3 linked regions of the Alligator mississippiensis genome follow. Each later gene encodes a partner of the first gene's protein in a complex. Links are inferred from orthologs where the notes say so. Each region holds a gene or a part of one and is shown in the gene's direction. Other genes may lie near its edges.

Region 1 (7,814 bases):
CCTTTGGAGGTGCATCTTTGGAGCTGTGGCTACTGAAAGAAAAAGGCATACTGAACACCTACTCCAGAATGATATTTGAGGTGGATGAAATCTGTTCCATACCAATGCAGGGGCTACCTGCCTTGCTCCTTTCTGATATGCGGAGGGGAACTCAGGCCAGCTTTCCTTGGTATCACAGTGGTAGCCGGTTTTGTTTTTTCACTGAATTCTCTTCCCATTCAACAGGTAGAAAAAGGAAAAAAAATAGGGAGAGAAACCCAGCTTTCTGTTAACCCATGCAGAATTCAAATCCCAGCTGATCTTTGCTAGAGACATGAGGAGGTATACGTTGAGCCAGGGGTTTTAGCTATAGACAGCGGGCACTGAAATCAGCCTCCCTCTTGCTGTTTCTAAACGCTCGAAGTCATTGGACCAGATCAGTAGGTAACCCATATAGGCTGGCTGAGAATCTGTCCTCTTGCAGCATTCTCTTGGCATGGTTTGTGCTCATCTTCCCAAATATCATATGCCTGGGTTTTCACATGTATGTGTGTGTATAGATACGTATATACATATATACAGATACACATACATATAGACACACATACATACTCACGTATTACATGCATACATATACATGTATATAAACACACACATATATACGTACACATCCACACATATCATCTTTTGCAACCATCGGTCTTGAGAGACTGTGGAGATTGCGCCTTTGGTGGGTTACTGGATACTGCCACAGCTTCCTGAGTGGCTGAGTCTGATGCGCAACAAGCAGAACCTCCAGCAAGTTGCACATACAAATCAGTTGAGCTTGCACTGGCATGCTGAGTACTGTTTTCTCTTGCCCGCCTCTGACGCCTCTTCCCTAGCTCATCATTGGGACATATACGTATATATACATACATATATATGCATATATATATAGATATGCATGCATATACATACATACACATACATATATACTTATACCCATATATACATACATGCATATATAAACACACACACACATAAACACATCTAAATACACATGTATATAAACACACACACATATGCATATATATATATAACTTACGTATATAAACACACATACCCACACATACATCCATGCCTATATATATAACATACACACATAACACACACATTCACACACATAAACATGCACATACACACATAACACACACATGCATATATGTAAAAACAAACACACTATAAATACACACAAATACACATACATGCAGATGTGTAAACCACACACAAACACAGATGCATATATAAAACACACACACACACACACACACACACACACACACAGCTACTACTACTACTACCACCTTATTTTAACACTCTGACTCTCCCAATACATTATTTGACCTTCACACCTTAAAAGTCAGCAAACACTGAAATCCCACTGCACGAAGCTTAATCCAATTTGTTTTAAGCCCCGCCTGCCCCTCCATTTATTTCGCTCTTCCCTGACAGACAGATGCTATAATGGCTCATTGTTCACCTTGGCTCTCAGCTGACTTTCCTCTACCTCGCCACTTGTAGGCGCTCAGGTTCTGGCTAACCCAGTCCTCCCCGCTCCCACAGAGATGCCTGCGGCTAAACCTGGGAACCCCGGGCAGGATGGGCCCCCGGCTCCTCTGCCCTATGAGTCTCTTCTGGGACGTGTCCCCGAGGTGACAGCTTCTAAGGCGCAGCCGGAAGATCCTACTTTGCACCTTTAGGGACTAGCCGGGGCTGCAGTGACCATTGAGCAATGCCCCTCCCACCCATTAACCATTGAGGGATCCCCCCTTCAAGGGTGGATTAACCCTTTAGTGGGCCCTAGGCAAATTCATAGGCCCCTACTTAATCCTGTAGATTTATATTCCTTTTGTTTCACTCAATAATTAGAATATGTAAAATAAGTACAACTGGCCCCCCTTCTTCACTGAGGGCCTTAGGCATGTGCCTAGCTTGCTATGCCTTAAGCTAGCCCTGCCCCACCCCTCACATAGCGCCACCTTTGCCGCAGCAAGGATCAGCTCTGGGTTGATAACACCAGAGGTCAGGTTCAAGCCCCGATTCGGAGCCTGTCTCCTCCAGGGACCAGGTTGAAACTACCAAGATATGGTTGTAGAGGGTTGTGGGTGTTGCTAACGCAGCAAAATATATTAGATGACTACAAAAATGGAAATGAAAGGACTGGGAGGGCACTAGCTTGGACCCTCTACTTAGCAAGAATACCATGGAGGATTCAAGCTAGTGCCCCCCCCCCCCCCAATCTACATTCCCTGGGTAGGCAAGTTTCTGGGGTAAATGCTCCATGGAATTCTTGGTAGTGCCCAGCATGGAGTACCCTGGGTATCCACATCCCCTGGGCAGATAAGACTTTTGGGGTAAATGCTTCCTGGTTTCTTGCCAGTGAGGATCCAAGGTAGTGCCCAGCTTGTAGCACACTCCCCCCATCCACATCCCCAGGGTAGACAAGATTTTGGGGGTAAATGCTCCATGATATTTTAGCTAGTGAGGATCCAAGCAAAAGCACCCTGGGTATCCATATTCCCTGGACAGATAAGATTTTTGGGGTAAATGCTCCCTGGTATTCTTGGTAGTGCCCGGCTTGGAGCCCCCTGGGTATCCACATCCCCTGGGTAGACAAGATTTTGGGGGGTAAATGCTCCCTGGTATTCTTGTCAGTGAGGATCCAAGCTAGTGCCTGGTTTGGAGCCCACCCCTTCCCGGGGTATCCATCCCCCGGTAGACACGGTTCTCTGGGTAAACGCGATCTCTTTTATTAGCCCAACCCAATCGTTGGGGAAAAAAATAAAACTCTGCTTTGCAAGCTCAGGGGCAGCAACACCCTTCCACCCACACATGCCCCGGGGGAGCGCGGCCACCAGAGAGGCTCCCCGGCCGCAGCCTAACGGGCCGGTGCCCAGCTCGGCCGGCGGGGAGCAGAAGCGCAGGGGCAGGGAGGGCGGGAAGGAGGGCGGGCGGGAGGCAGGAGGAGGAGGCGGCGGCGGCGGTGCTGCAATCGCTGGCTCTCCCGCAGCCGCCTGTGATTGGCGCGGGCCCGCAAGCCCCCGGGGTCGTGACATCAGCAGCGCCACAAAAAGCCAAGGAGGCACCTCCGGCGCTTGGCAGAGGCAGGGGCAGCAGGAGCCGGGCCGGGCCGGGGCGGGCGCACAGGCACACGCAGCGAGGGGCCGCGGCGGCGCACGAGACGGGCTCCGCGCCGCGGGCAGCCAGGAGGAGCATCTGCCCGCAGGCTGCCACACCCCCGCGGCAGGAGGAAGCGGCGGCCACGGCAGCAGCCACTTGTTGATCGCGGCTTTCGAGAGGAGGAAACCCCAGCCCTGCCCCTGGCCGGCCCCCGGCGGGGAAGCAGTCCCCCGCGAGCCGGGCATGTCTCCGAGGCGGGCTGCGCCGGCGGGCCGGGGGCAGCGGCTGCAGCGGCGGGAGGCGCCGGGGATGCGGGGCTCAGCCGCAGCCTCCCGCTCAGCATGAGTGCCGGCCGCGGCCATGGGCTGCCGCGGAGGACGTAGGAGCCGCCCGGCAGGAGCAGCGCGGGCCAGCGGCCCCGGCGCGGCGCGGGCGGAGGGCAGCCCGCCGGCTTGGCTCCGCGCCTAGGAGGACTCGCGCACACAGACCCGGCGAGGCCACCCCGGGGCGCCGCACATGTGCCGCTCGCGGACATGCCCCCGAGTGCCGCCGCCGCCGCAGCTGCCTAGGCCGTCGGCGGGCTCCTAAAGGTAGGGCTGGGCGCACCTGCTGGGGCCCGTCTGCCCCTGCGCGCTCCGGCCGCGGCCGGCCCCCCGCAATCCGGACTCGCTTCGGATCAGCCCCAGCGCTGCTGCTGCTGCTGCTGCTGTGGGCAGGGGGTGTCTGCCCCCGGGGGGGCACTTTGGTGCGGGATCGGGCCCGGGAGGGGTTGGGGGGGAAGGTGCATGGAGGGGGTGGGATCGGGGCAGGGGAAGTGGGTGCGTGGGGGGGGGGAGGTCTTTAGGATGGGATTGGGATTGGGATCGGGCCCGGGGAGGCGGGTGCATGTTTGGTGCGGGATGGAGAGGGGGTGGGCGGGGGGTCTTAGGTGCGGGATCGGGCCCGGGGGGGGATCTGGCACCTGCTGCCGCGCCCTGCTGACCCCCCTTTCCCCCTCGTGTGTGCCTTGCAGGGCGACCATGGTGGCCGCAACCCGGTCGCTGCTGGCGCTGCTGCTGTGCCAGGTGGCGCTGGGCGGCTCGGCCGGGCTGATGCCGGAGGTGGGCCGGCGGCGGGCGGGCCGGGCGGCCCCGCAGCCGTCGGAGGACGTGCTGAGCGAGTTCGAGCTGCGCCTGCTGCACATGTTCGGGCTGAAGCGGCGGCCGAGCCCTAGCCGCGGCGCCGTCGTGCCGCCCTACATGCGGGAGCTGTACCGCCTGCACGCCGGCCACCAGCTGGGCGCCCGGCTCGAGCGCGCCGCCAGCCGCGCCAACACGGTGCGCAGCTTCCACCACGACGGTGAGCGGAGCGGAGCGGCCGCGGGGGCAGCTTCAGGGGGCTCCGTGTGTGTGTGTGTGTGGGGGGGGGTGGTGGTGTTTGGGAGTTGTAAAGTGTAGGGGGGTTTGGGGGCTGTGGGAGAGAGTGTGTGTGTAGAGGAGACAGTAGGGTGTGTGTGTATGTAGGGATTGTGAGAGGGACAGTGTGTGTAGGGGGCTGTAGGGTGTGTATGTTTGTGGTTAGGGGTGTCAGTGTGTGTGTAGGGTGTAGAGGGGCTTGGGCATGTGTGTATGGGGTGTGTGTGGAAGACTAGGGAGACTAATGCATGTTTGTAGGTGAGGGAGTGTGTGTGTGGGGGGGGCTGTAGTGGGTGTGAGGGAGTGCTTGTGTGTACAGGGTGTGTAGGGGATTTGAGGATCTGTCTAGGGTGTGGGTAAGGGGTTTGGGTAGGAGGGTGTGGGTGTGTGTGTAGGGGCTGTGAGGAAGAGTGTGTACATAGGTGTCAGAGAGAGCATGTGTGTAGGGGTGTCAGGGAGTGTGTTCAGGGTCTGTAGGGTGTGCATGTGTAGACAGGGGTGTGAAAGGGAGTGTTTGTTGGTTGTGTGCATAGGGGGATTAAGGGGTGTGAGAGGGAATGTGTGTGTAGGGGGGTCCCTTTTTTTTGGTATGGATGTGATCAGCTTTGGAGGCTTAAAAAACAGGGGGGGGGGGGGAGGAGTATCAGGGACAAAGTCTTTCCAAGGAGTTAATAAGCTCGGCTGCTAATAAAATAGGTTGTGTTGAACTTCCCAGCAGTGCTTGTAGTCAGGTGTGTGTGTGTGTGTGTGTGTGTTTTTAAAAGCCCTGATTAAACGACTCTGAATTTTATGTTCTGATGCACTTGGGGCTCAAATCTTTTTTTATTTTTTTTTCTCCTCCCCCTGCTTTTTCTTACCCCTGCCCCCTCCACTTTCCCTCCCTTTTTCATCTGATGTGAGACCTGTCGATTTTTCTTATTTTTTTTTTTTTAATTTTCTAACAGATTGGGCCCAAATTAAGAATTCCCACAGATTAGTTTTCTTTTTTTATTTATAAGGCTAAATACCAGAAAGTCTCCCTTGCTTACTTACAGTTGATCTGTAAGAGGGTCCTTGAGGAAAGGTTTCTAATCCCCGTGAGAGATCAATTCCACAATTGATTGTATTGTTTCCATAATGACTTTCTTGTCCTGAGTTCTGAAACAAGGCTAGATTTAACGCAGCTCTAAGGGGCAAAACTGGTCTGATAAAAGCCTTGTCACAGCCCTCCCCTGTCTCACATGTTCACCTGAGCCGATCAATACTGTCATTTTAAGTAAGATGCTGAGCGCATGTTATAAAGAAGTGTGAAACTGCATACACCCAAACTCTTTTTTTGTCTTGAAATTAGATAATCTACACACACACACACACAAACACGTGTGTGTAAAGTCACTTACTGCTTTAAAAATCTCAAGTAGCTGTTTTCTAATCTCACCCAAATGCTGCTATCTTGTGGAGAGCTGTATCCACCTCTCTTCTTGTTGAAACCTTTTAAAAGTTCAATAGGGTTTAACTGCATTAGGATAGTATAATAACTCCAGCCTTACGCTTCTGTGACAAACTAGTCACCATGAATGGTCTAATGTATCCATTTTACTTTGTTACCAATTTACTAAATACATGCAGAGGAGATTTGTCTTTTCTTAGGTGCATTTTTTTTTTTTTATTTGCCTTTCGGTACTCATTGTTTTATTAAATATGTGTGTCCATGGACTAACTAGATTCTGGGAGTGGGGGGTTCAGGCAGGGGGAGGAAATAACTAAACTGGTGTCATGGCAGATAGCCCAGGTAGACCTCTAGAATGAGTGGTTTGCATGTTACTCTTGCTCTTAACGCAAAGAAATATTCCAGAATTTGTAAATAACTTCTAGCTATTAGTCTTCAGTGGTGGTATGCTGTAGGCTCACTGTAAAATTAATGAAAACACAGATTCCACATGTTACAACATGGAGCTGTGACGAAAGAAATTTTATTAGGATTTAATTAAGTTGGTATACAAAGGAAGTGGCCTGAAATCGGTGGTTATACTCTCTAATGGAAAGCCTTATAATGAGGAAGGAGATTAATGGCGAAATTTAACCTTGCACTGTGGTTTGTGCTTCTGTATGTGGAAAGTAAACTCTTGGTAATAAATGGAGAAAATCCAGTGTAAGATTCATTCATGCTACCAGACTTCTGAACATAAAACTAAACGTGGTAGAAAAGGAACTCTACAGAAGTTGAAAAGCAATAGCACAGTTTGCCAACTAGCATGTTACTGCCATTTGAAGAAATTTCACAACAAAAAAATAAAGTTTGATTCTACATTTTGCAACAAATAATAATAATAAAACTAGCCACTTGCTTTGTAAACCATTGGTTAGGTCAGGCTGCCTGAAAGCATTACTGACTGTATGAAAACATGTGAAATCACTTTTGCAAGATGGCAACAAATGAGCCATCTATTTACCTATTTTGGACCTAATCCTGATACCCTTATGAAAAATCCTTATTTAGGGAAGGGAATCCATTAAAATAAGCAAGGAATAATTGCTTGAGTTAAGGAATATTCATATTAGTAACGACTTTTTATGGCAAGATGAATGGTTTTCCAGCATATTTATCACCAAAATTTAAAAACTGAATTTTTTTGAACAGGTTTATTTTTTACACTTCAAACTTTAAATTTAGCTTTGCATAGCTATGCAGTTCAGACTTGTACTACACATTTTATAGCCCCCACACAATAGGCCACATGCCACATCTCCCCCCCCCCCCCCCCCCAATATAATTACAGAGGAGGGGAACAGGGGAAGAGAATGGGACTAAATTTAAGCTAAGAAGCTATCTCTTTGTTTCACTGTCATGGTACCATCCATGGTACTGTGGGTAGCCATCTCTTTACAGACCTTTTGAGTAAAATAATAGGGTGTTCTTTGTAAAATGCCATCACAGATGTTGAGCTTGCGGTCTCTAATTAGGGCACAAAAATCTGTGTATTAGGGTTTGCAAATCATCTAAATTGTGGAGTAATATTTTTGGAATGGAGCTTAAGGGATTGACATTTTGACATGAAAGCCATATTTTTGGGGGTGGGGAGGGTAGAGAAAGGAGTAAAAGCCCAGAAATGCAATAATTACCCTAAATCCTCAATCAGTTTTAATTTATTCTCATTAGATCTCCACTAAATACAGTGCTAAAAGTTTTTGTTTTGTTTTGTTTTTTCTTGCTAATGTCCTTGAATTCCAAAGTAATGCTTCTCATTTCTTGTCCATTATTATAACCACCTGGCATGCACAGTGCACCAGCATTGGATC
Region 2 (7,814 bases), on another chromosome or scaffold:
AGCTCTGTTTAACAGCTCAGGTTCAAGCCCTGTTGTGCCTCTACTGACTTGAACTTGACCTGCCAGCCTGGGCTGAAGATCAAGTTACCCTATCATTATTGCTTTTGTAACCCAAGGTAAGCATGTGCTTATCTTGGGTGTCAATGCATCCCGGTTATACCAGCAGAAATCTGGAGTGACACCACTTGCATGGGCTAGCCCCGTAGCTACTATGAGCCAAGCGCTTGGTGAATCCATCTGCTGTGCTGCAATGCGCCAGCGTGCTTATGGGCACCCAGCCGCCATCACCATCAGAGCATAGGACCCTGAGCTGAAAGCAAATGCCCTGTCTTCCAGTGCCCCTGCAAGGTCAGGCACGGCCCCATCACCCCTCAGCATCACGGCTCTGCACATGTGCCCACGATCCATCATCGTAACCTGCTGCCGAAACCGAGACCTCACAAGCAACCCTGTTGCATAATGGGCGATGACATCGCGGGCTTTGCCATTCTGATATTAATGGATCCTCCGTGCATTTTCATGCTAATTGCCATGTCTCCAGCATGCCGGCCACTCCCGCCCCCTCGTCCCCTGGCGGTCCCCAAGTTCCAATCCTTTTTCCCTTTTTCTCTGGGTAATTATCAACAGTTCCTTATCTCTAATTGCAGCCCAATGGTTTTGTCTTAATTCACAGAGGACAAATGGGGAGGGTCGGAGCTGAAGACAGCTTTTCTGTGCGAAAGGTCTGGGAATAAGACCTGCCAATCAATCACGACTTGAAACCCCTCTCCGATGCTCCTGCTTCTGGATGAAAGAGCGGCTGGTGGGGAGGGAAGGGGGGGCTGTGGGTTCTGGGGAAAGCCAGGTGGCCCCGGCAAACTTCTGCATCAGGGACGGGATGGGGATGGGGTTGCTTTGCTGTTGACTGGGTGTATTTTCCTTGGTTGCTTTCTTTAGAGTGGGAAAATCTGAGGCTAGCTTGCTCAGACCAGACCCCATGGTGCCAGGTGCTGTATATGAGAAGGGGCAGTCTCTGCCTGTGGGTGCTTAGAAGGGCAAAGACAGACTAAGTCAGGGAGGGGAAACTGAGGCAGGACGAGGCAGAAATGCAGAGCTCTGTTCTGGACAAAGGGAGAACAGCCTCCTGGAGCATAGTCAGCCTCCGGTAAAGTAACTGCCTCCAGCCTGGCCCAGAGGTTTGGCTTTTAGGCACAGCTACCCAGTAGCCGGGGGTTCCTGCAGGATTTGAGCCTGAATCTTATGTGCTGGAGATGCTTTGGGGGGCACCAGGGCCCTTTGCCTCTCCCCACAACTTCTTCTCACAACGTGGAGACACCAGGCATCCCATCCCCTGCCTGCTGAGGTGCAGCTGGTCCAAGCAGTGCCCCCTGGGACCGTGTCTGACCTAGGGGTCCGGGTGCTGGGGGGTCTTGCCAAGCTCGTGGCTCCACTTTTTGAGTGCTGCTGCCACCTCGTGGGGGTGCGCACGCATGGCACGTGGCTACTGGCTTCCCCAACCCAAGTGGCAGACTCCTGGCTTCTCCAGATGGAAGGTCCCAGCGGGTCCCCCATGCACCCAGGTCCCATTGAGGGGCAGGTTGCCCCACATCCACCCTGGTGATAGTCCAGCCTGTGGAGGGATGGAGCCTTCCCTATTTCCAGCCAAGCTGCCTGCCGGGATGGGGGGAGAAAGCAGGGAGGAAAATTCCCAGCGAAGGCCTCAGCGTGGGAAGGGAGATGGATCCAGCTGTGGCTGAGCCAGGGAGTGTGAAGAGCCCCCAAATTGTCCCCCCTGCAACAGGAGTCCAGGGGTGTGGCTTTCCAACCATTCCCAACAGCTGGGCCCAGTGCAGGGCACGGCCCTTTTGTGTGCTTGGCATGTTGTAAAAAGCCACAGGAAGGGGGGCATTTTATGCCCCCTTTGCATGAGTGCGATGGTGCCCTCTGGACAGGCCCCAGAGCACCAGGCATTCCCAGCCCCGGGGGTCAGGCTGCTCCGAACAGAGGGGCTGGATGATTTCCAGGCCTGCCAAGACCCCGCTTTAGCTTGGGGGCCAGTCCCCTCATGGTGTAACTCAGTGCAGTCACAGGGTGCAACCCTGCTTTCCAGCTGCACGGCAGCTCCCAGCTCTCCCACCGGGGGGGTGCATGACAGCTCAGGCTGTTTGGCTCCCCTACAACTGCTTCAGGCTTTATTTAGCCAGATCCACTCCCTTGACTTGCATTTCCCCCCGCCCCTGCCTCCCACCCTGGGTTATGTTTTAAACACATGGAACAACCCAGCCCAAGCACAGGGACAGTTGCTCACCCCGGAGCAGGTGCTTCTGTCTATTGATTTATCTGTACTCTGGCCTTTCGGGAGCTTTTCTGTGAAAATCTGCCCCCCACCCTCACGTAGGAGTGGGTTACGGGTGGGGGGCAATGGGACAGCTGGATTAACAGCTTCCTGCGTCTGCTGTCCCCAGGGATGCAGCCCAGAGGATTTCAGCTCTCCCCACATCTGGAGTGGAAATGCAAAGAGGAGTCTGGGTCTCTCATGTCTACACTCCTAACACCCTCTTTTCCACTCGAGATGGGCCCCTGGGCTGGGAGGATTGAAGGAAGGAGGAGGAGGCAGTGAGACGCAGAGGTGTCCTGATGTTCTCCAGAACTTCCCGTTGCAGAGCTGGGACGGGGAGTCCGTGGCTTCCCTGAACCACTGAAGCCATCCCCTGAAGCCCCTGCAGCTTCTGATGTAGAAGAGAAAGCACCCCAGCTTCTCCAAGGGGGTTTGTGCACTCTAGGAGGTGCCCAGAGCTGCCCTCCACGTCCACCCAGGTGGACCCTCCAAGAAGCAGGACAAGACACAGGCCTCTGGGCACGAGACCCATTGTGGCAACATATATCTTGATCCTTCCTGTGCCAAAACCAGCGCTGGGAGTTGTTGAAACCTGGATTCTGCCCAAGCCCTTCCCGGCTTGGCTGCTTTTCGTAGATCCACTGAGTTGGTTTAAAGACCGATCATCTTCTCGGCTGCAGAAACTCAGCTCCGGGGCGTGGGGAGCCCCAAATCCATCGCCCTAAGAAGAGAGCAAGGAGAGGTCCAGTGCAGTCAGGCGTGAGCAGGGCTGTCAGATCCTGACGAGGTCTCACCAGCATCACCTGGGGGGTCTCTAAGTTTTCAGACAAGAAAGCGGGTGTAAACCAGAACGTCCTCGGCCCTCTGGAGTCTCCAGCCTCCCCCCCTGGAATCCTGCTTTAGGGATCAAAAATACTGCTGGCTATTTTTAAAGTGGTAACTTAGAGCTTCTGTTGGGCTCCCAGGGACGGATCAGGTTGTCGTAAAGTTCAGCTGTTTTCGGCTCGCACCATAGCCAGTCCCCCGGCGTTAGCAGACTCGGTTCCCTTTTTTTTTTCTCTCCTGTCTCCTTCCACCAATGCTTCTAGCTGGCAGGTGAGACCGGGAAGTCGGGACCAGAGCAGCACAAATGGCAGGGCTGAGGTTCACCAAGGTAAGCATGAGCTCTGGCTCCTTTGGGTTTTCTCTTCAGAGGGCGAGCAGTTGAGGTTTGCTATGCCAGCACTCCTCCAGCCTTTGCTAGTGCATCACAGTCTGGAGCTGCCACTGCAGTTCCCCTTGCTGCTGTTCCACCCGGCTCTGGGGGCTTTGCCTCTGTCCTTGTACTGCATCAATCCTGGCTTCCCCATTAATCCTGACTATCCCAGTCCTAGCACCCTGCATGGCTCAGCCCATGGACTTCCATCCCCATGTCCGCTGCTCTGGACCTCGTCCTCTCTTGAGCATCTTCTTGCAGGATGGTGAAGGGTTTCCTAGGGGAACCAGCAAGGCAGGCCGAGCCTGTCTGCACAAAGATTTAAATCAGATCACTTTAGTTGAATTAGGGCTGGTGGAATTGCCGGGGAGGCTGGACAAACTGCCTGGGAGGGTGCGGACAGGGATTTATAGATGCATAGATGCTAGGGTCGGAAGGGACCTCAATAGATCATCGAGTCCGACCCCCTGCATAGGCAGGAAAGAGTGCTGGGTTTAGATGACCCCAGCTGATGATCCTGTCTTGGGTGGGGGGTCAGATGAGATGGACCTTGAAGCCCTACCTGTCCATGCATAGTGTTGCACCGAACCAACTAAGCAGCTATAAAGCTGCACCTTTGGTAAAACCTGGACCATGCTCTGTGTGGTCCAGGCCTGGCTGAACGCACTGCATCATCCCCCAGGCACAACCTAGGGCTGAGATTCATGTGCCAGTGCCTCAGAGGTGTCCTCATAGGATGAATCATCACTAAACCAGAACCCTGGCATCTCATCTGCTTTTGGAGAGTCACTGTTACCCCATCCATGTCATGGCTCTGGCAGGAGAGGATTAATCAGCCGGGCTTTAATTAGAGCAGAACTCCTCCACTTGGGGTTTGGTACTAGACTGGCATAGAGAAGGGAAGGGGGTATATCTGTTTGGGATCCAACCAAACCTCCAGGACCGTCTGGATCTTTTTCTCCCTGTTCCCCATCACCTCTTTTTTAAGGTCTCCCTCTGCCCTACTGGCCCGCGGCAGGGATGACACAGCAGTGCCAGAGCCGTGGCATTTCTAGGCAGGGCCAGGAAGCAGAGATGATCCCAGGTCCTTTGAACCCAGGCTCCGAATGGATCCGGAGGGGCTGGAGGTTGTGCCAGCACAGCTGTCTTCTCTGCTTCCTCCTCCTCCTTCCAAACTGCAGCTCTGCCGTGTCCTGCCAACTCCAGCCTGCAAAATTCCCAGCCTCTGTGCGCTGAACGCATGCATCCCACCTAACGCCTGGTTACATCTGCTGCAAGTCCCCTTGTTAAGGCTCCAGACGGCCTTGTGGGCCTGGCAGCACATTCCTGATTATGGGAGCTGGCAAATTCGCTCCGTGACCTGCGTGATGGCTCTGCGTGACCCATGTGATGGCTGGGGGGGACCTGCTGCAGAAGAGCAGTGGTTAAGAGGTTAAAGTCAGGGGTTCCCATAAGGGGGTCTGTTTGAAAGGTCTGAATAGTTCCCTATCCAAACCCCTTTGTGGGGCCCGGATGGGACCTTCTGCTCTTCTGGGAAGAATGTTCAGCTGCCCCCACTTCTGCCCTCCCTGTAACACATTCCCACGTGGGGCATCCATGCCCTGGCACAGCTGGCAGCTGGTTTCCAACAGATGGTGCTCATCCCCTGCAGTCCAAGTCCAAGCCCTGGCCGGGGTGGAGCCTCATGGGAAAAACCAACCCCGAGGCCATGACACGATGCCCTCGGGACTCAGGAGAGGGGCAGATAGAGCGGGGAGGAGTGGGGAGCCTGATGGGAGCTGCAAAGAAGGCTCTTGCAGTTCACAAGGAGGGGTCAGGTCTTGATTCCACCCAAAAAAGCAGGAGCTGCAATTTTATTGAGTTTATGGTATCTGAGCCCCTTTTGGGTGAATTATGGTATCCAGGGACTGAGTAACAGTTGCTCCTGGGTGGAGGAATTAAAGCTATGTGGTCTCTCCCTCCACCTGCTTCTCTTTCCCTTGGAAGGCTCAGGTAAGGCATGAGGGGCTGGGTGGATGGATTTATGGAAGGAAAGAAAGAAGGCAGGGAGGATGGATGGATGGATGGATGGAGGGATGGATGGATGGATGGAAGGAAGGGGCTTAGTGCCAGGGATGCAGACCTTTCTCTGCATTTAGCAGTGGGAAAGTAACTCTTCTCTCCAAAGCTGATAGGAAAAGACACTCTGCCAGCAGCAGTTTGCTGCTTCTCTGAGGCCAAGCCAGACTCCAGCAATTTGAGGCATGCTCTTTGCAAAGCAAACCCCACTGCATGCTTTTGGCAGAGCTGCTTATCTCTTTCACAGGTGGACTTGTTAATTAATCCGTCTTGCTTGGGTTTAACGAGGGGGCCTGCAATCTGTCTCCTCTCCAAACAGGCTGGTTTTCAGGCAGGACTGGAGATTTGCATTGTCTGCAAAGGCAGGGGAACAGATAGGAGCTGGTGTTTTAGTCTTTTATGTTATTACTTGTGAAAAATCATGAGATCTGCTTAGAATTTATGGATTTTTTTTTTAATCAAACCTTTTCCAAGAGGCTTCTTTGCATTCTGGTTTGGGATTTTTTGAGGGGTCTCGTTTTCAGCTGTGTTTTCTAGACAGCTTTGGAAACCTGGTTTATGGAAGCTGAGATTTTCCTGCCGTCACCTTCTTGAGGACAGGAGCTGGACTTGATAACCCACCTCTGGGCTGGTGTGCGATCAGTTAGCAAGAGTTGCCAACACTGTTGAACCACTTTGAATGCTACAAGAGGAGGTTTTGGGGTATTTGGGGTTGCATTGTTTTATCTGTGAAAAGCCGCCCTTCTTAGAGTCAGAATGTGACCATAGAGGTAAAAACTATCCAGGGGGAGGGTTGCATCTTCTTCTTGGCCGAGGGAACTGCTGGAGGTCCCTTCTAGCCTTGCTTCTCAATGCTTCTCAAACATTAAGTACCAGCTACAATCCACAAGAGTGGATCTGATGGGCTAAAGATCTGATTTGGGGATGTACTATTAAAACCTTGCCACCCACTTGGAGAGCAAAAATGGTTTCAAAGCAGTGGGTAAAGTCCAGAGTTCGAGCCCTGGTACAATGTCAGGCACGAAACATAACCATTTCTCCAGGGCTTGGTTGCATCTTGTTGCCCTGTGCTTGGGAGAAAGCTGCATTGGGAACAACCTCTCCACCTCTTCTCTCTGCTCGGAGTCGGGGTTGATCACAGTCTGAGGGGTTCGTACTGCTGCTTGTCATTTTGGTGTCTAAGTACCTTTCATGGGAGATAGATTGGCAATGGCAAATTCTCTTCTGCGCTTAATGCAAGCTCTGGCTGTCCTCCCTTAAGGGAGACGGACCTTTATTAACAAGATGAGTCATTAATTGCAAGTGTTCACTTTGGAGCCCAGCAGGCTCTTGGCAACATCTAAAGCCTCTATGCTAAACTGCCTTTGGATTAGACCAGTGGTTTTTAATGTTTTTAGACTCAAGGCCACTCTTGTTAGACCCAAAAGCCCCCCTCAGAAAATGCCAGTTCTTAGTTTTCACTTCTTTTTTGACTACAGAAAAATATTTAATCAACTCTTCTGTTGCGAAGAACTCAGGAAGACCATAACCGCTCAGGATGCTTGAACACCATGAATCCCTGGTTGCAATCTCTGGGTTTGTCTTGTGAATCAGGTTTGCGCACCCAACTGCGCTAATGTAATGTGGTGTCCCATAGCACCCTTGAAAGGATCGATCCCAAGGCACCTTGTTGAGAATCGCTAGCTTAGACCCCTAAAATACCCCCGCCAGCCCCAGCAAAGTGCCGTCCATCATCATGCAGCTTGCTCTCTTTGTGACAGAGGCATGAAAATGTCCCAGCTAAAAGCAGGACTACATCGTGGCAGGTGCTGCACAACTGCACCCATCAAAGGAGAAGCCCTTTTCCCTTTAGCACTTGCAGGCCTGATGGACCAGAGGGGATGGGGTCAGGGGGAAAGGGACTTGCCCACGGTCACACAGCAAGACAATGGCAAGTCCCCTGGTCCCCATCCAGTGCTGTATCCACTAGACCTCGATGACCAAGTTATAGGGTCCTTCCCCACGATGCACTGCCATGTAAATCCCCAGGAAAGTAGCTTAGAGGCTTGACCACAGGGACTCGAGAGACCTGGGTTCTAGCCCTAGCTCTGTCTCTACTCTGCTGGGTGACTTCACCTTCTCCGTGCCTCAGTTTCTCCATCTATAAAATGAGGATAATGAACCTGACTTTGGCTATGTAGCACTGCTGCCTTGTGAACCAGTCTGGAGCAGGGTGAGGAGTGTGTCTCTGTTCCTTGGTTAATC
Region 3 (7,814 bases), on another chromosome or scaffold:
TGTGGATGTTAATGCAGATTGCATGTTAATTTCATTGCTTTAGTATAATTAACATGTATGGCATCAAAAATGATCCCTGGTGTTTGTGACAGGGTTGATGCTGCAGGGTTTTTTTTTTAAATAAAGATAAAATGTGTATGTGAATACCTGTCTCGTAAGGATATAAAGGTCTACTTCCTTTCTCATTAAGAATAATAACCTCAAGGATATCAGTTGGTGTTTGGAAGTACTTCCAAATTTCCAGATAGAAGTGGTAATATAGCTATAGATGTAACACATTAAGTATGTCAATATTGGATCACTGTGTGAAGAGCATACTTTAAGCTTCTAATACTTTAAGCTTCTATTAGCAAAGATCATGGTACAACTCCAGAATGTTTCAGATGCCTGTTTATCTGTAGGGTAAATGGTATTGTGATGCTTATACTCTTCTGTGCCTTTAAATTTGGCAAATGATGCAGGAGCAAAAGAGATGCCTATTTCTTACACTCTCCTCTTTTTTTTCTGGTTCACCAGAACCTAAGAAAAGGATTCTTCTAGGTCTCAGAAGTGCTAAAAATCCTACAAAAATCATGAGAAGAGCAGTTGCCTTAGTAAGGCCTCTTGTGCCGATAATAAGTTAAAGAAGTCTATTATAGACCAGATTAAAGGCATTTATTTAATTACTATATTTGTGGTAGACCTGACTAGCTGACTTCTAAAACATATTGACTAATGTTTCTGGAGAGAAGAAAAGAACCATGGCTTGCTAGATTATCTCTGTTGTGTTGGCGCAAGCTCAACAAAGAGAAAGAATGGTAAATGGCTGGAACTGCATTAGAAAACATCCTCTCAGGCCAGCTTTCTGGAATTGCTTTGAACTCTCCCTCATCATTATTTTATGCACCCGATCTTCTTTGTGCTTGTGGAACAGGGAGGAAGAAAAACACACGAGACTTGCCTTTAGGATTTTTAATCAAAGCTACTACTGCTTTGCTGATTGCAGCTGTGGAGTTTCAAATGATGAAGCAAGTGGGTAAATTAAAACCCCATATTCCTGTGGGCTAGGAACAGAGCTGTTTGAAATGTTCTTTAACGAGAAGAGCATGCTCCTATTGTGTTTCTCTTGAGCCAGCAGATCCAGAGATGCTCCAAAGAGTTCTGAGAACCAAGGCCAGGATGATTAGCAAAGTGAGACACAATGAGTGCAATTATCTGGCAGGAGTTCATTTGAAGGAGGGCAGGGCTGAGGTTGGCTGCTCTGGCCACCTTGCTGTTTCAATACCTAATGCAAAACTCACTAAAATCCAGGAAAATAAAGAATTCTCAGGGGCTCTAAATCAGACTTTCAATTGTTGGGCTGGAAAAAAGGAGGATCTAGCAATTAACAGAGGAAAATGAAGTTAGGGTCTGATCCTGCTCTGAGCAGGGGATTGTACTAGATTATAAAAGCAGGACATATAAGCTGCACCCAGACAAGTGTGGCTGTGTGGTGTCACAAACCCATCTGCGACACCACATACTGTACATGCAGGCATTCCCCATGCTGCTGCCTTGCAGCACTGGGGGGAGGAGGGTTTGGCCCAGGGAGATCCAAGGGTCAAAAACCCCACCCCCCCAAAAAAGCGGGGTGGCACACACGGTGGTAGCACGCACCATCCAAAAACAGAGCCTGGCTGGCCAGAGCCACACTAGCTGTTGGCCAGGTTTCCTGCCATAGCTGCAGCCCAGGGAGGCTCACAGGGCCCCAGATAGGGCTGCTGGGGCCAGCATTGTGCTGGCCCCAGCTTCCCCTACCCCACCCAAGGTAACTTGCCACATGCCAGAGCATGCATAACACAGGCATTCCCCAGGGATAAGTAGCAGCCATACAAGGTGTGCTGTTGTTGCTTCTCCCTGGGGAAACAAACATCCATGCTTATCTGGACATGTCCACAAAGACCATTTTCCCAATGTATCGTCTCCCGGCTTGCACAAAGCCACATCCGTCTTCCAATCTGGGCTGTGACATTACAAAATAATAATAATAACAATAATATCTCCTGAATAGGTATTGGGTCCTAGAGGGCCTGTCCAGATGCACCAGAGAGATTATACTGTAAACCTAAACCAACCTTACCTAATGGTCACAAAACCAAGTTCCCCCCACCCTCCCATGAATGTGTCCAAGCCTTTGCAAGCTGGGGAAGAAATTCTGTACCAAAAAAAGACCTCCTCCCCCTCAACCCCCCCCCCCCAAAAAAAAAAAAAAACCCAACCAAACAAACATGTAACTGCTAGGACTCAATCAGGAGAAGGAAGGGAAACTGATTGTCTGCTGGCAGCCAAACATCTGGGGAGACCTGGGAAAGCTGGTGTATATACAAGGTCGGCTAATAACCAAATAAATAAGGGGGTTGTTGGCGGGTGCGAGGCTTTGATAGTGTAACAAATTGCTGAACAAGTGCGAGGGGGGTTGTAAAAGAGAGGCTGCCCGCCCCGAGCCAGTGTTCCCCGGCCCACTAAAGGGCCCCTTTGTGCGAGCCTCGAAGGGGAGCGTGCCCAGCGGCTGCTCCAGATGTGCAGGTACATTCCAGCGGTTGCAGCATGCGCTGCCAGCTCCGCCAGGGGGCTGCAGCCGGAGGAGGTGGGGCCAGCGCGCTGCTCCAACCTCCCTCCTTGGGGGCGGCAGGGGAGCGGGGGATGGAGAGCATCTTCCCAGCCCCGAGGAGGGAATTACTGTGCTCCCTGCTCCCCCCCCCCTCCACCAGCCCTCATTTGTCTTCTATAGGTGGCGGAAAGATCACGCTGTCATTAAAGGCACATCCCCCTCGCTTTGTGCCAGCGCCGGGAAGGGGGAGGCAGATAAACAGCCCCTGCGAGGTGGATCCAGATGCAGGCGGCGGCCGGCCGAGCTGTCCCGATGAGTGCCCCCTTCCCGGCGGACAGCGCCCGCCCGCGCCACTGCTGATCGCCCCGCGCCCGCCCGCGCCGGGATGTGGCAGCCGGCGGGGATGGAGCCCAGGGGCCGGCTGCGGTGAGTTGCTTCTTTCCTTGCCGGACTTGAGGTTTGCGGCAGGGGGGTGGATTTTTGCTCCCTTGTTTGTTTGCCTGCCTTGGGGTTCTTTAAAAACAAAAATCAGGATGTTTGTTGTTGTTGTTGTTGTTGTTGTTTCCTCCTTCGATCCACCTGTCTCTAAACAAGCGCTTGGTTCTCCGGGGAACCAGCAGGAGTAAAAAGAGAAAGGGGGGTGGGGGGGAAGAAGAAGGGGAAAATAGGTCCAGACGGACATCTGTAACCACTTACATGTTTGCACATTGCAGATTCCATCTGAGAAAATAAACACCTCTTACTCCGGATTGTTTGCGACTGATGTCAGCCTGGAGCGGTTCAAGGATCTTGTGTGTGTGTGTGTGTGTGTGTGTGTGTGTGTGTGTTGCAGTGTGTAGAGAGACACACATTGTAATACACACACATGCACACACACACAAGACACGGGTTCCTTGCAGTGTGTATCTGCATAGATACACATTGCAATACACACACACTACACAGGATCTTTGCAATGTGTATCCAGCTAGTTAGATAGATATACACACATTGCAATATACACACACACTCTAATGGGATCCTTGGGATGTGTATCTGCATAGACAAACACACACACATTGCAATATACACACATTGCAATGTTGTTCTATGGAGCTTTTTTAGCTGAGAAAAAAAGAGCACTGAAAGGTCATTGCTGGATTCAGGTCTGGGCATTGAATGGAGGAAAGGTCACAAGGCAGAGGGGGCAGATCCCAATTTTGCTGTATGCTCTGTGTGGGGTGTGTGCTCTTTCTGTGTGTGCTGTGTGTGTTTCTGTGTGTGTGTGATGCCTGAGATGGGAATGCTGAGCTTCATGTCAGGAAGCTCTCGAGGAGCTCTAAAGAGGCAAGAAGTTGGCTGCCACGCTTCCTTTCTGCATTGACAGGCTCTGGGCTTGTCAGCCTCACAGCAGATAAATGCAAACTCAGCCTGCCTTAGCCAGCCCGATGTGGAACTGATGGCAAGTAATTGCCATGGCAGTGCCTGAGAAGGTGGAGGGGGGAGTATCTTAAACACATTAGCTAGACTGCAAAGCTTTTAAAGCTTTCTCAGGAGTTTCTGGCTAATGAGAGGTTAACTTTGTTTCGGGGGGAAGATCATGCTGGTTTCCTGAGATAAATGGGCAGGAAGCGCATTACCTCCCGGGCTCTGGCAAGCGACTTCCAAATGCTTTTTGCACCTGCTATTTTCAGGCTTAGTCAGTAGCTGCAAAACCCAGGCTCATGTCAATCTCCTTTATAGGTTGGAGTAATGACCCCTTTCCTCTGCCCTCCGCAGGACAGCTTGTGATGTACATGTTCTCAATTATCTGCTGTACAGGTCCTAATTTGCAAAGGGTCCCATCGTCTAGGAGAATAGGATGCAGCTCTGACTCCACAGCTCCGCTCCACACCATAGGGTTAAACATGATGTAAGTACGAAAATATCAGAGATGTCCGTTTATTAAATAGTTATTGCTGATACTTGCTGCCTTCGTTGCCAAATAATAGTGGGAAATAGAATGATGTGTTTTGCAAAGTGAAAGCCCAGCTTGGATTCCCCACTAGCCTTCCTTCGCTCACACCAATGTCATAAGCAGACCAAGAGGAGATTCATGTTGGATGTCTGGAAACGGAGATTGTATCAGCAGGGGAACAGTTAAGGCATCGCACATTCCTTCTGGAAAACAAACCACAGCTTGTTTCAAATCCATGAATGCTTTGGCAGGTGTTTGACTTTTACCCAGTTACATGTTCACTTCATTTTACGCAGTTACATGTTTGCTGGAGCTAAACTCAGTGGTGACAGATGACAGAACAAGGAGAAATGGTCTCAAGTGGCAGCAAGGGAGGTTTGAGTTGAATATTAGGAAAAACTTTCTCACTAGGAGGGTGATGAAGCACTAGAACACATTACCTAGAGAGGTGGTAGAATCTCTACCCTTGGAGGTTTTTAGGGCCCAGCTTGACAAAGCCCTGGCTGGGATGATTTAGTTGGAGATGGTCCTGCTTTGAGCTGGAAGTTGGACTATATGACCCCCTGAGGTTCCTCCCAACATTCATTTTCTATCATTTTCTTTGATATAATTTCACTTTTTAAAAAAGCTGGGTCTCAGAGCCGTATGATGCTTGCTTCTTTTGCTTCTTGGCTGTAGCTGGGGGGGAAAGCAAGAGATAAAGAGACCTAAAAATCAGAGCTGTGGTTTGTTTGACATCTTCAAGTCACAACAATGTGTTGATAGCCACATGCACTTGCTATTGTTATAAGCTCACATCTGAACTCATTCCTGAACTTTCACCTGTTTTCCTGGTCTTTAAAAGGGCTAGAAAGTGAAAGTTCAGGAGTGGGTTCAGATGTGAGCTTATAACAATAGCAAGTGTGCGTGGCTATCAACACAGTCAGATCTTTCCCTATTCTGAAATACTGAACTTTAATCTTCCCATGTTACTGTCTCAGCTAATTTAGTGGCCCTGAGCTTTCAAAATGAGAGTTATCTGGCAGGGCAGTTGTAGGGAAATGTCACATTTGCTGCAGGCTGTGCATTTGGACACACACACCAATGCAGATGTTAGGCAGCCAAATCTCGAACTTGTCAAATTTAACAATAGTACAATAAAGCACCCTGGATGAAATGCATGTTCTCCTTTTTACCAGCACAATTCCAGTGTTTGACCCAAATATTTGGAATATCTCAAGAGCGCCCTCTATTGTCAAGGAACCGAGCACAGAACAAACAGCAGGACCACAGTTGAAAGGAGTTGGAACAAAACCAGAACAGGCAAAAACTCCCGTTGCCTTTACTGAGAGTTTTGCTTGAATATGGGTCTCAGATCTGATTTTAATCCCAGAAATAACTTTCAAAAAATTCAGAAACAGCCATTACATTTTTAAAGGGGGAAGTGCAGTCTGTGCACTTTGTTGTGAACCCTGCGACCTTTTTCTTCTTTGTTGCAAGTGGGAGAAGTTAGGGTGGGAGTCAAAGCTGTATCCCTTGACATATCTTTGTGTAGTTCATAGAATCAGAACAGGAAGCTTGGAAGGGACCGAGGAGGTCATCTAGTCCACCCCCTTTCTCAAAGCAGCACCAGCCCCAACTAGATCATCCCAGCCAGGGCTTTGTCAAGCCGGGCCTTAAAAACCTCCAAGGATGGAGATTCTACCTCCTCTCTAGGTAATTTATTCCAGTGCTTCATCACCCTCCTAGTGATAAAGTTTTTCCTAATATCCAATCTAAACCTCCCTCGCTGCCATGAAACCATTGCTCTTCAGTCTGTCATCTGTCAGTTGTTTCGGGTGTTTTGAAGAAGAGAAACCTACAAAGCAAGTGACCAAAACCAGAACTGTGGGTAGCAGCTGATCTAATCATGCTTGCTCCAAGGTTAGCGGCAGGCTTGAGAATCCAATAGATCTTGTCTGTGAGCTGTGCTCCTGCTAGGTTGATACTGTGGAAACACAGCTGCAAGCTTGAACTGTGGGGTGGGGCACAGGGATTCAGCTCTTTGTCATGGGCACAACTGCAGTAGGGGTGACGAGGAGGGAGGAAGAGCAGATCCGTTTGAAATGTATGGAGTCACCTGATCGGAGTGCCCTGGGAGCAACACTGAAAAGTTGCTATGGTGCAGGGCAATTGGTGTGAAGAGAGCTTTTAATGTAGAAAAACATGCAAACGGATTAGTTTAAGGAATGACTGACTCTTGTGTTCCTAAACTGGTTTTGCTGCTGTTTCTATGCTGCTGAATGAATTCCCCCTCCCCTTCCTAATGCCTTTTGTTTGGTGTGTGTCACCGGGGCCAAGCGGATTTAAAAACAACTTAAACAAAGGAAAAGGAAGGGAAAAGGAAGGGGTGGGGGGAGCAGATCGCTATGGGACAGATAATCGGAAACGTCAGCCTTTAATTATACCAAACCTATTGGCTGGGACAGTGTTGGGGGATTCATCACTTATTATTATTTGAGGCTTGAGTGTGCTGACTACAAAACTGGCTTTTGCCCCGTCTTGTCACCTCTCACAAACAGAGCGGTCGCAGGGCTTGAAGAAAGGAAAAAAAGTTGCATAATTTAGCCTGGCCAGAGATAAACCATGTTAGCTAGGGAAGGAGGAAGAGCAAGTGGAATGTAAGTGTTGAAGCCATTCATAGAGATTATTACATGGCACTTCACACTCCCTGATAAAATTGTCCATTGTTATCAGCCTCAAACAATTCCCTCTCCTCCTGGCTCCTTGTCTGAGATGCCTAAATGTATCAAAGCATTCAGCAGCCCTGTAAAGCTGGAGCGGTTGCATTGCAAAGGTGAGGGGCATTTCGAGATCCCGCTAAGTGGAAAATGTAACCGCCAAAGAGATAAGGAAGATGCCCGTAGCGGCCCAGCGAAACACACAGTTCAGCCCCTGGCTTGCTGAGGGTGGAGTGGGATAAAATCTCCCAGGGGTCATGCAAGGGGGCAAAGTCGCCGGAGACTAGACACAGCCGGAACCTCTCAACCAGGAGGCGGGGGAGTGATTACGAGCGAGCGATGCCTCCCCGAGCCCCCAGGCGCTGGCATTCGGGTTCGGAACGCGGGCAAAAGCCAACGTTCCAAATCCGAACGCTAGCGAAGAAGTTCCGCGGAGCTGATTGGCCGCGGCTATGACTCCGTGTCAAGGCCGGGATTCTAACAGAAGCGCCCCTTGGCTCGGATCCGGAGCGGAGTCGAGCGCAGCGGGAAAGCGGGGCTAGAGGAGAGCGCGAGAGCGGGCGCGGGGTGGGAGGAAGGGGCGGATCCGAGCGGGGGGGCTGAGAGCAGC

What was found.
Region 2: the proteins of BMP2 (region 1) and HJV are in contact, whole or in part, in a crystal structure (PDB 4UI1), measured with the Homo sapiens proteins. The link is inferred for Alligator mississippiensis from reciprocal best matches to the Homo sapiens genes BMP2 and HJV. Residues at the interface, in NP_001191.1 of Homo sapiens: Phe331, Pro332, Ala334, Asp335, Leu337, Asn341, Ile344, Val345, Leu348, Ser351, Val352; in NP_001366281.1 of Homo sapiens: Leu40, Asn43, Tyr46, Val47, Tyr86, Leu101, Ala102, Ser105, Ala106, His108, Gly109, Ile110, Asp112, Leu113.
Region 3: the proteins of BMP2 (region 1) and RGMB are in contact, whole or in part, in a crystal structure (PDB 4UI2), measured with the Homo sapiens proteins. The link is inferred for Alligator mississippiensis from reciprocal best matches to the Homo sapiens genes BMP2 and RGMB. Residues at the interface, in NP_001191.1 of Homo sapiens: Val308, Gly309, Trp310, Trp313, Met371, Tyr373, Leu374, Asp375, Glu376, Tyr385, Met388; in NP_001353437.1 of Homo sapiens: Lys97, Arg100, Gly101, Leu103, His106, Ser107, Leu110.

Annotation. Positions count from the first base shown.
Region 1 is NC_081824.1:225,997,442-226,005,255, reverse strand, and holds the start of BMP2 (bone morphogenetic protein 2), read left to right. Parts: upstream 1-3,086; 5' UTR 3,087-3,731; intron 3,732-4,153; 5' UTR 4,154-4,160; coding exon 4,161-4,479; intron 4,480-7,814. UniProt on the Homo sapiens protein: Growth factor of the TGF-beta superfamily that plays essential roles in many developmental processes, including cardiogenesis, neurogenesis, and osteogenesis. Induces cartilage and bone formation.
Region 2 is NC_081838.1:17,968,546-17,976,359, reverse strand, and holds the start of HJV (hemojuvelin), read left to right. Parts: upstream 1-3,230; 5' UTR 3,231-3,470; intron 3,471-5,235; exon of another isoform or gene 5,236-5,504; intron 5,505-7,814. UniProt on the Homo sapiens protein: Acts as a bone morphogenetic protein (BMP) coreceptor. Through enhancement of BMP signaling regulates hepcidin (HAMP) expression and regulates iron homeostasis.
Region 3 is NC_081826.1:236,982,357-236,990,170, reverse strand, and holds the start of RGMB (repulsive guidance molecule B), read left to right. Parts: upstream 1-2,671; 5' UTR 2,672-2,995; intron 2,996-4,369; 5' UTR 4,370-4,455; coding exon 4,456-4,460; intron 4,461-7,799; exon of another isoform or gene 7,800-7,814. UniProt on the Homo sapiens protein: Member of the repulsive guidance molecule (RGM) family that contributes to the patterning of the developing nervous system. Acts as a bone morphogenetic protein (BMP) coreceptor that potentiates BMP signaling. Promotes neuronal adhesion.